2 linked regions of the Neodiprion lecontei genome follow. The protein of the gene in region 1 purifies or fractionates together with the protein of each later gene. This does not show direct contact. Links are inferred from orthologs where the notes say so. Each region holds a gene or a part of one and is shown in the gene's direction. Other genes may lie near its edges.

Region 1 (4,206 bases):
CGGGTTAAGAGAGCCGTTGGTATCTAAATAGTTGAAACGACAAACAATTTTTTAACAATTTTAGATAAGTAAATGTAAGATTACATTGACCAAGTGTACAGCATTTTTTTAGTCTTTTATCACAGTTTACTTTATTTGTAATGAATTAAAGCTATACTGGTAGTTTTTCTAAATCCAGAAATTTTAGTTATTCGATATTTAGGCATTCTTTTACATAGCGATTGTTACATGGAGTTTAAACGTGTCTTAACCATTTCTAAAACAACTCGTAAAAAGAGTCTGATTAGAATATGCTATTTGAAAGACATGTTGAATATTGTGTATGAAATCAGAGGGGACTAGTGTTTAAAGTGTTGTAAGTAATCATATCAATATGATACGAACGTGTAAAAATGAAGTGTAAAGAAAACGAATCAAAATACAAATTTCTCTTCAATTAATAAGGAAGTTTTAGTGTTTCATAATTTTTACTGACGGCTCTTTAACCCAAGGTATAAGATAAATAATTATAATTTGTATAATATTTTATTGAATATAGAGAGAACTCATGTAACTTATTTTATTCTCTGTAATGTGGACTTGTATTTAAATATTGAAAAGGATATTCTATCATATGATTCGCACGTTTACTGATTAGTAGCATGTGTATTGATAAGATAAACATAGAAGAGAAGGATCTCAATTTAATAACTGCAAAATCGAAGATAATTGATTTTTAAACAATGCGAATATCTTTTATATTGAAGTAAAATTGTTTATCGAACATTCGCCATTTGATGAACCTCTGAAAGATACTTCTAATTTGTTGTAAGTACACCAGTGTCTTCTCGAAACGGGCACTTTTTGTGGTTCAATATTTTCCGTATGTAATAATTGAAACGCTAATAATTATTTGGAATTCGCATAATTTTTCGAACACATGTATTGCAATTTGTATAAACTGTAGACTCAACCATTGAATAAGAATAATAAGAACCTCCTTCAATTCTATGTTGAATACTTACAATAATAATAATAATGTCTGCAATGGCCAGTGAATTTCAAAGAAGTGAAAAACGATGTTGAGGTACTTAACAAAAAACAAGGTTATAAAAAAAAATGACTTGACTTTTACCACAAAATTGCGTGAGTACATTCCATGAAAATGCTTGTTACCCGCTAAACCTTTAACATTCCATGTATTGAACGGACCTTGAAAAAATATGAGTAAACGTGAAATAACATTTTTATTTAATATCATCCATTTCTTGGCAGACCGTAATTATTATACTTCACCTGGGTCCTATTTAGTTCTTTCTTTCTTGTTTTCACATTTTCGAATAATTTGGCGTACTGATTCAAATCTCTCATTGTGCTCTCTAAATTGATTATCTCCTTGCTCCGTATAATGTAGCATCATATCTACCCGCCTTCCCTGTTATAACCCGCAAATCAATTTTGTCTGTGTTTTCAACGTTTTGTTCATTGAGTGCCTACATTTGTAAATATCATTATTTTTATGTATTGTGTAATATTAAGGCATCTGTAGAAATCTGCAGGTACCTTTCTGGCCAGAACAAGAGCCTAAAAGTAAACTGTTCGAAAACACTTTGTCTGCCTCCTTTATCTCCCTTTTATTAAAAGTTAATTGTAAAATATTAAAGTAGTCTTTGAAATTATCTTATAAATTCTTATGAAAAGAAATCAGTCGAGAAGGTAATTCACCGTACATAATATGTATATTTTCGGTCGACGCTTTATGTAGTCAGTTTTTTTGTTTTTAAATCTTCCAATTGCCATAATTGAAGCATAAATTATATGTATCCATAAATACAAGAAAGCTTTTTCAAATGGTGCGTTTTATTTGCGAGTCTCATAAAAATAGGAGAGGACAAGGACGACGTTCGATTGGTTTAATTCTAGATACTAACCAATGAGGTAACGCTTCTCATGCTTTTTTGTTTTCAAAGTATGGTGCTGCCATCTGTCGGAATGAAATAATACGAATTCCACAGCCTTCCGTGTCAAAAAATTTTCCCGCGCAAACGAGCGCTATCAAGACAGTGGGCGCCAAAATACGTGACATCCGACATCATTTGCTGTTCGGTAACGGTAGGAAGAGGTTGCAGTTGTGATTAGACTTTCTATCCGTGTAGAATCAATCTCGAAATATGTCCGGTCGTGGTAAAGGAGGTGAGTAGTATCAAAGCTTCCGAGAAATAATTAGCCAGATTCTCGAACAACAGGACGCATTAAAAGTTTCTTATTGATTTTTAAAGGCAAGACCAAGGGAAAGGCGAAGACTCGCAGCAGCAGGGCTGGGCTTCAATTTCCCGTAGGTCGTATTCACCGGCTCCTGAGGAAAGGAAACTATGCCGAACGTGTCGGAGCCGGTGCTCCGGTTTACCTAGCTGCGGTCATGGAATATTTGGCCGCCGAAGTTCTCGAGTTGGCTGGAAATGCTGCGAGAGACAACAAGAAGACGAGGTTAGTCCTATCAGCACCCTTATTTTCACAACCACAATACCATAGTTCAGAAGTATAGACAACCCACAGATTACTCCTTCATTTTCTCTTATTCACTACAATTTCTTCACTGTATAATATGATAAATCTCAACCAAAGTAGGTTTAACATTTCTTACGGAATCGAGCAGAATTTGCGTCGTTATTATCGCGTGCCGTGTTTTTCCTCTGTTTCGGTACAATCATTTGTCTCCTATGAAGATACATTGAACATACATTGTACACATGAAGAACTGCTTTGAAATTAATCCTAATAACAGTACAGTGTGTAATAATTCGTGTGATAAAATTGGTGTATGTATGAATGTATTTATACGTGAACATGGCCGAACACTTCCATTTCAACCTAATGCAAAGAAACTTGTTTTTGCACCAACCAAACTCTCCCCCTTCTCCTAAATCACTATGACAATCTACACGTTTTCTAAATGGAATTCTCGATTTGGGAAAACAGTACCCGATTTCATGTAACTGAACTATGCGTACACACAGATATTTGAAAAATCCTGCAGTCAGACGTACAACATTTACTTCAGGAAATTGGATTTATTGACCATATTTATGTTTTATTTTACAGAATAATCCCTCGTCACCTCCAACTAGCCATTCGTAATGATGAAGAATTGAACAAACTGCTTTCTGGAGTGACTATTGCACAGGGTGGTGTTCTGCCCAACATCCAGGCAGTTTTATTGCCTAAAAAGACTGGAAGTAGCAGTGGATCTGGCAAGGGAGACAAGGCCTCTCAAGAATACTAAATTAAGATATTACATTAGTGCGAGCACGAACTTACATTTGACCTTATAAAACCTGACAATTCAATGCAACACATTTATTTACATTCACTAAAAATTGGCAAGATCAGATGTTTAAAAGCACTGAACAAAATTGCAAGTTGAATTTATTTTGTTTCTTTTTTTTCAGTATTGAATAAATGAATCGCGTTATGTGTATGATTCATTGTATGATGCTTATGTTTGACGGCATCCTTCGTTTTTCAAACTGTTTTTTATATTTATGTATTAATTTTTGCCATTGTATTATTTCGCGAATTTTTTTGTTTCAATTTTGATAAGTGAGTAGATCAAAGGTGACAAACAATAAATGGCCTGCAGCGTTATCATAATAATACTAACTTTTATTGACCTGATAACTGATCCCACAGTATGACGAATTGGTGGGAACATTTCTTGAAAATTGTACCTATTTGTACATACATAAGCGATATCTTGACATGGAAAAATAACCCGAACGAAAAATGACAAGCGGTTTCAATAATTGTGTAGTGTTTTTGGTTTGTCTCGTCACTTTTTCATCTTACCGCAATTTCAGTAGCCCAATTATTTCTGATAATTTAGAGTGTAGACTATATTCAAGAAAGAGTGTTTTGATTATAACATCAACAAGCATGCAGCTTATACTCTCGTATTTATTATTTGACGTATGCAGCACACAATTTTTTAAGTCCAGGGATATCAGGTTTGATCATCATAAATTTTCAAAGAACCGAATAAAGAATTAATTTACAATCAGATTCAAGCTTCGAATCGACCATTCATTCAAATTGATCAAAACGTTTCTCTGTTGACTCAAGGCTCCAAAATTGTAACTTTTGGTCGGGACTGTAGAAACCGTTCACAATCGTGTAGTACGTGAAGTTTGTAATACCAGGAATAACTAATAACAGTCCGCAATATTCTTC
Region 2 (5,744 bases), on another chromosome or scaffold:
CCAGGTTGCTCCACACTTTACATGCAGTAGTTCTTGTAGCATCTCAGGTTGAGTGGTGAGGTAACGCCGTATTTACACTGCAATAAGAAAATAACAGAAGATTACTCACACAATATACTTGGACTAGATTTCGCGTGACGGTTTTTTTTTCCATATTATCTCAGTGGTGGCTGCTGCTATTAATAAATGACATGTAGGAATGAATAAAAGAAAGCTAATGAAATGAGCACAAGTAGTGAGTAAATGCACAAAATCAACGAGCAGCTAAAATCATTTACAATCAAAAGCGACATTATAAACAATAATCATATCAATTACGTACCTTCCAATTTTCTTCACTGTAGTGGATGGTTTAGTTTTCACTTTGTTCTCAGAGATCGATTAATCGGGTTACTTTATTTACTTCATTGCTAAATGCGGTTAATGGTGCTGCAGTGTAGTTTGTTCCTGTAATGGGGTAAGATATAACATTTCATTATTATTTTATCGTTTAAATCAATACACGTAGCATTGGAAATGCACCATAGTTTTTATAAAATATAATCAAAAAACTAAACAGCAATAAATTGCGAATAAAAGATCAATTTTCCAGAGTGAAAATAGTGTAAAAGGATAATCAAGGATGAAATAAAACGTGTACCTGCTTTGCGATCTTCCATAACGTTACGACCTGTTCGGTTATTGTATTTTGTTTCCCACATTCATTGCTAAGGTCAAACGATTCAAACTTTAGCTAGAACCTCAATCGATCTCGCTGCAGCTTATTTCTGTAATCAGATCAAAGACCACCCATATGATTTAAATATTTCATATTCAAAATCCATATACTCACGACCAGTGTTAAACAAACGGAATTGTAGTATGTTACATATTACGCTAAGCCTTGGAAAATTTTATCGATTGCCTAAATAATAAAGTGAGAAATAATTTTCATTGTTTTATGCCTGCTACCTTTATGCAATAAATTCATCTGTTCAGCTACCGCATTACATCTTCCAAGATTTATTAACAGGATTTTACAATCCAGCTAATTGCTAACATTAATCAACTTTGTTGCAATCTGTTTCTCTAATCAGGTAGGTTGACGCAATATTTTGTTCATAATATAACTTTAAAATCGATCTAAGCAGCATTCAAAATTTACCAGACTTACTCAAAAAGACAATATAAAATATAAACAACAATCAGCGATTCGTCTTCATTCATTTTTTTCATTAGCGATTATTTTATAAAGTATAAGATGTTGAGTGTAATTTTAACATGTCACCTTATAAGCTACCGACAAGGTCACGACAATTAAAGTCACGAAATAAATAGTAACGCTGTAACGCGTCAACCCTTGTTGCATGGAAGTACGAATCAAAATTCTCAGAAATGCCTCGGTGTTGATAAACAAACGAAGGTCTGTTGATTCGCGAACGGTGAACTGCGCGAGTCACCGCGCTACGCATTATAGGGACGCGAGTACAACTACATGTTAATAACGAAACTCTTTCATTCAGCGTACGTTCCGATAGACTGTTTTTTACGGCAAAATAAACCAAGTCATAATAAACGTGCTAAAATTGCATTTTACAAAGGTCCGTTTGATCAGAAATTGAGAGAGAAAATCGCAACAGAGAATTAACGGGACATTCTCTCGTCACAAAACGCGGTGAACAGTCAAACGTTTGCCCGAGAACAATCTGAATGTGTCAACGAACTATCTAGAAAACTTCAAAATTTTAGAAAGAACTCAAATCACCTTATGCAGACCAAATATTGCGGTACGAATTCTAGACGATCAACGCACGTGGCTCTGCTCCTGCTGCTCGAAAGCGAATGACGCCGCTCACTTACGGAACGAAGTTTCGGGCTGCGCGCGGCGAATGCGCAGAATGCGGCCCGCGTCGTACAAAATTGCTACTCTCCGCAGCGTCAGGCGTAAATATGTATTCTGTATTTTCTGTACTACATAATCTGTAACGCATTTCGGAATTAATTAAATATTTCGCATTAACGCAAAATTAATGGAAAGTACGAGACGAACCGCAAACCTTGTCTCTTTACAATATATATATTACCGGCAACGCTTGCGTTTAGTGAAAGGGTTCTGTTCTGAGCCAAGAATAGCGCTAGTGTCTGCTCCCCGAAGTGTATGAAAACAACATTGTGTTTAGTGACAAGTTTTGGTCAAATTCTGATCAAAATGATCGAGGAACACGATGAGCGGGAGACGATATGTGATTCAGTGGTAAGTAGAGCTGTATTACAACTGCGAAGGATATGAATATTTGACCCCGGAGCAAACGTTGGATGTAATTGTGAATTTTACTAATTCTAACCTCAATTTCAGTCATCACTTGTCGAGGGTTGTCGTTTGCCGGTCAGGATGCAAGACGGCGACGACTGGCGTAAGTTACTTGTAGCCCTGCAAAATTATTTAAAATATTTGGAACTCGTTCCGCTGCCCTCTTCGTTTCTCACACAACGTTTTCTTTTACAGCGCTCGCTGAAATCATCAGCGTCAAAGAGATGCGAGGTGTCAAATGCTACTATGTCCACTATGTGGATTGTAAGTATTCAATTACTGCAATTAGATGACAGGAAACTTTGCAAACATGAATATTCCATAAAACGTATCTTTGTATTATCATGGAATAGCCAGTTGATTAGCTTTTCTGTTAAAAGTTTACTGTCATTAGCCATGAAAACTTGAACTGTCACTGCAAACTTGATATATTTGAATAGTGCACATTGTTTCCCTTCGATATGCCACTCCGAACAACAGGAAATTAAATTATTTCAGTTAACAAACGATTGGACGAGTGGGTGATGGAAAATTGTTTAGATACGCGGAAAGTTCAATTTCCAAGGCGAGATGGTACAGCGCCTGGAACGGGGGCAGCGACACCAAAAAAACAGATTCCTAGCAGGCCGCCGAGTCCAAACAATGTGATACCTGAGCCGGTCAACGGTTCGGCAGTACTGCAGGCAGCGTTACAGAAAAAAATTTCTAGAAAAAGAAAAGCTACATTCTTAGAGAACGAGGATTCTCAAGAAGCACCACCGCAACCTGTACCTGCGGCTACCGGCCCAAGGTCTACCGGTTCACTGGTAGCGCATCACCACGATGATGTTGTAACTAGGATGAAAAATATAGAATTAATTGAATTGGGAAGGCATAGGATAAAACCATGGTATTTCAGCCCGTACCCTCAAGAAATGGTCAGCCTCCAATGTATTTACATATGTGAATTCTGCCTCAAGTATCGAAAGAGTCGAAAATGTCTAGAAAGACACTTGGCAAAATGTAATTTAAGGCATCCGCCTGGAAACGAAATATACAGAAAAGGCTCGATATCGTTCTTTGAAATAGATGGAAGGAAAAACAAGAATTATGCTCAAAATCTTTGTTTATTAGCAAAGTTATTCTTAGATCATAAAACTTTATATTACGACACGGATCCCTTCTTGTTCTATGTTATGACACAATTCGATAGCCGAGGTTTTCATATTGTGGGATATTTTTCGAAGGAGAAAGAATCGACCGAGGATTACAATGTCGCTTGTATTTTGACAATGCCTCCTTACCAGAGAAAGGGTTATGGAAAACTGTTAATTGAATTTTCTTATGAATTATCGAAATTTGAGGGTAAAACTGGATCTCCGGAAAAGCCACTGTCCGACTTGGGGTTATTGTCGTATAGAAGTTACTGGGCCCACACGATACTAGACATTTTACTAAACGTCAAACCCTTAGTCGAGAATGAAAAACCACAGATAACGATAAACGAAATATGTGAACTGACGTCGATAAAAAAAGAAGATGTCATATCAACGCTGCAAAATTTAAACCTCATTAATTACTACAAAGGACAATACATCGTTACGCTTAATAGGTAAGGAGACAACAAATGATCGATTTCATCATCTTCATCGTGATCTAAACTTCTATGAATATACTTGACATCTAACGTTGAACGAAAATTAGTGGAAAAATCATTGAGTTATGATTGTATATTTTCACAGAGATATAATACAGCAACACGCCGCCGCAATGGAGAAGCGTCAGATAGGAATAGACCCAAAATGTCTTCATTGGACACCAAAAGACTGGAGCGTCAGAGCGAAATGGTGAACAAAACTAATATCTTGCAATACAAATACGCTAATGTGATTTAAAATTCGTTTCAGGAATCCTGGAACTGATTATCTACGTCACGCAAGCGTGCAAAATTGTACATAACTCTCGAATTTGTGGGGCTTTTTTTCTCGTTTTAAACCTGCTGTGTCTAGTTTCAAAAATATTGCATGATACATATACACCATATGTATGTATATAATATTGTTAGATGTAAATTCTTATACTTGTACAGATAGAGATCTTGTTAATTATTCATTCCATATGTGTTTTAAGTATAATTGGTTTGCCAACGCTCTTTCTTCTATATTATTTTATTGTATTTAATAATATTTAATAATATAGGAATAACGATAATTAATAATAACAATAATAATAATTATAAGACAACGGCCAGAGCAGTTCGACGTCGGTGTGGTGCGCTTGTTATTTGTTCGGATCTTGTATTTTATGGTACCACTCACGATTGCACAGTTATTATATTAATATACAAAATCGTAGAAAGATCATCTATTTGTATGTCTGATCGTCTGTATGCACGGTAGCGTTGAACAGCTCGTGACCAAACTTAAACTGCGTACAACTTGGGCATAAAATAATAAATCTTCGTCTGCGGCATTGAAGAACAAGCAATGTGGTGAACTTGACTAGATTAATGCCGTCAGTAACCGTATAGTAAGAATGAAACAAGAGAAGTATGCTCAAAAAATGCGAATTTTAGTCTCGACAAGGGAATTCAAAGTTTTACAAATACTATTTTCCTTTTATACGATATGGAAATTGCTCTCGTCACTCAATTTATTCCGTTTGCGTTTCTTTTTCCTTTCAAATGCATTGCCCGGCTAGTTGCCCACTGTTTAAATCCGTTAATACCAGCATTGTCTATACGCTTATTTTTAATTACACCTAAGACTATTTTTAAACGTTGTGGTCGAAAGGTGCAAAGGATCTTTGGTCTGGACATTTCATTCATTCAATAGGTCCAAGTGCACTACCCCATGCATTGATATTAATTTTCTCATACAAGTACGTCAGGCACCAGAAATCAGTGTAGCATGGGGTAAAAAAACAAAAATTATAATAATAACAGTGGTAAGATGTCTACAAATTAAGTATGAACCATAATTACTATCTTTAGTTTATTACAACGTTTAATTGAACCCCTACAAAGTGTTTACCGATTGTAGTATAGTGCCATGGCGGGCTATATCAAAGTTGTTATCGATTATCTGTAAATTGTCTTATCATTGCGTATTTTTGTCTGTATTAAATTTCACGCTTATAGGAGAAAGGAAGAGAGAGAGAGAGAGAGAAAGAGAGAGAGAGAGAGAGAGCGAAAAAGCAAAAAAAAGAGACGCTATGAGAAAAAAAATTATGATTTACAATAAATCAAGCTCATTTCGATTTAATTCGACTAGTTACTTATGTGGTGGACATCAATTGTTGACAGAAAAAGGAGGAACGAGAAAAAATCCCTTTTTTCATAGATTTAATCTACGAACATTGTCAAAATCTTTCGTCTTGTATTTCAGCAAATGTGAAAGATGTTTTTTTTTTTTTAGATTAAGTATTCAATCATGAACGGCGAATCGTAAGATTTATCGACTGATTTAGTCTGTAC

The links.
Region 2: the proteins of histone H2A (region 1) and histone acetyltransferase Tip60 purify together in Homo sapiens (affinity purification with western blotting; 3 studies listed by BioGRID and IntAct, with this or other methods). This does not show direct contact. The link is inferred for Neodiprion lecontei from reciprocal best matches to the Homo sapiens genes H2AX and KAT5.

The regions. Positions count from the first base shown.
Region 1 is NC_060262.1:40,434,777-40,438,982, reverse strand, and holds histone H2A, read left to right. Parts: upstream 1-2,012; 5' UTR 2,013-2,150; coding exon 2,151-2,172; intron 2,173-2,258; coding exon 2,259-2,466; intron 2,467-3,081; coding exon 3,082-3,262; 3' UTR 3,263-3,633; downstream 3,634-4,206. UniProt on the Homo sapiens protein: Variant histone H2A which replaces conventional H2A in a subset of nucleosomes. Nucleosomes wrap and compact DNA into chromatin, limiting DNA accessibility to the cellular machineries which require DNA as a template.
Region 2 is NC_060265.1:23,412,206-23,417,949, reverse strand, and holds histone acetyltransferase Tip60, read left to right. Parts: upstream 1-1,949; 5' UTR 1,950-2,137; coding exon 2,138-2,233; intron 2,234-2,335; coding exon 2,336-2,393; intron 2,394-2,485; coding exon 2,486-2,554; intron 2,555-2,788; coding exon 2,789-3,881; intron 3,882-4,011; coding exon 4,012-4,116; intron 4,117-4,176; coding exon 4,177-4,228; 3' UTR 4,229-5,173; downstream 5,174-5,744. UniProt on the Homo sapiens protein: Catalytic subunit of the NuA4 histone acetyltransferase complex, a multiprotein complex involved in transcriptional activation of select genes principally by acetylation of nucleosomal histones H2A and H4.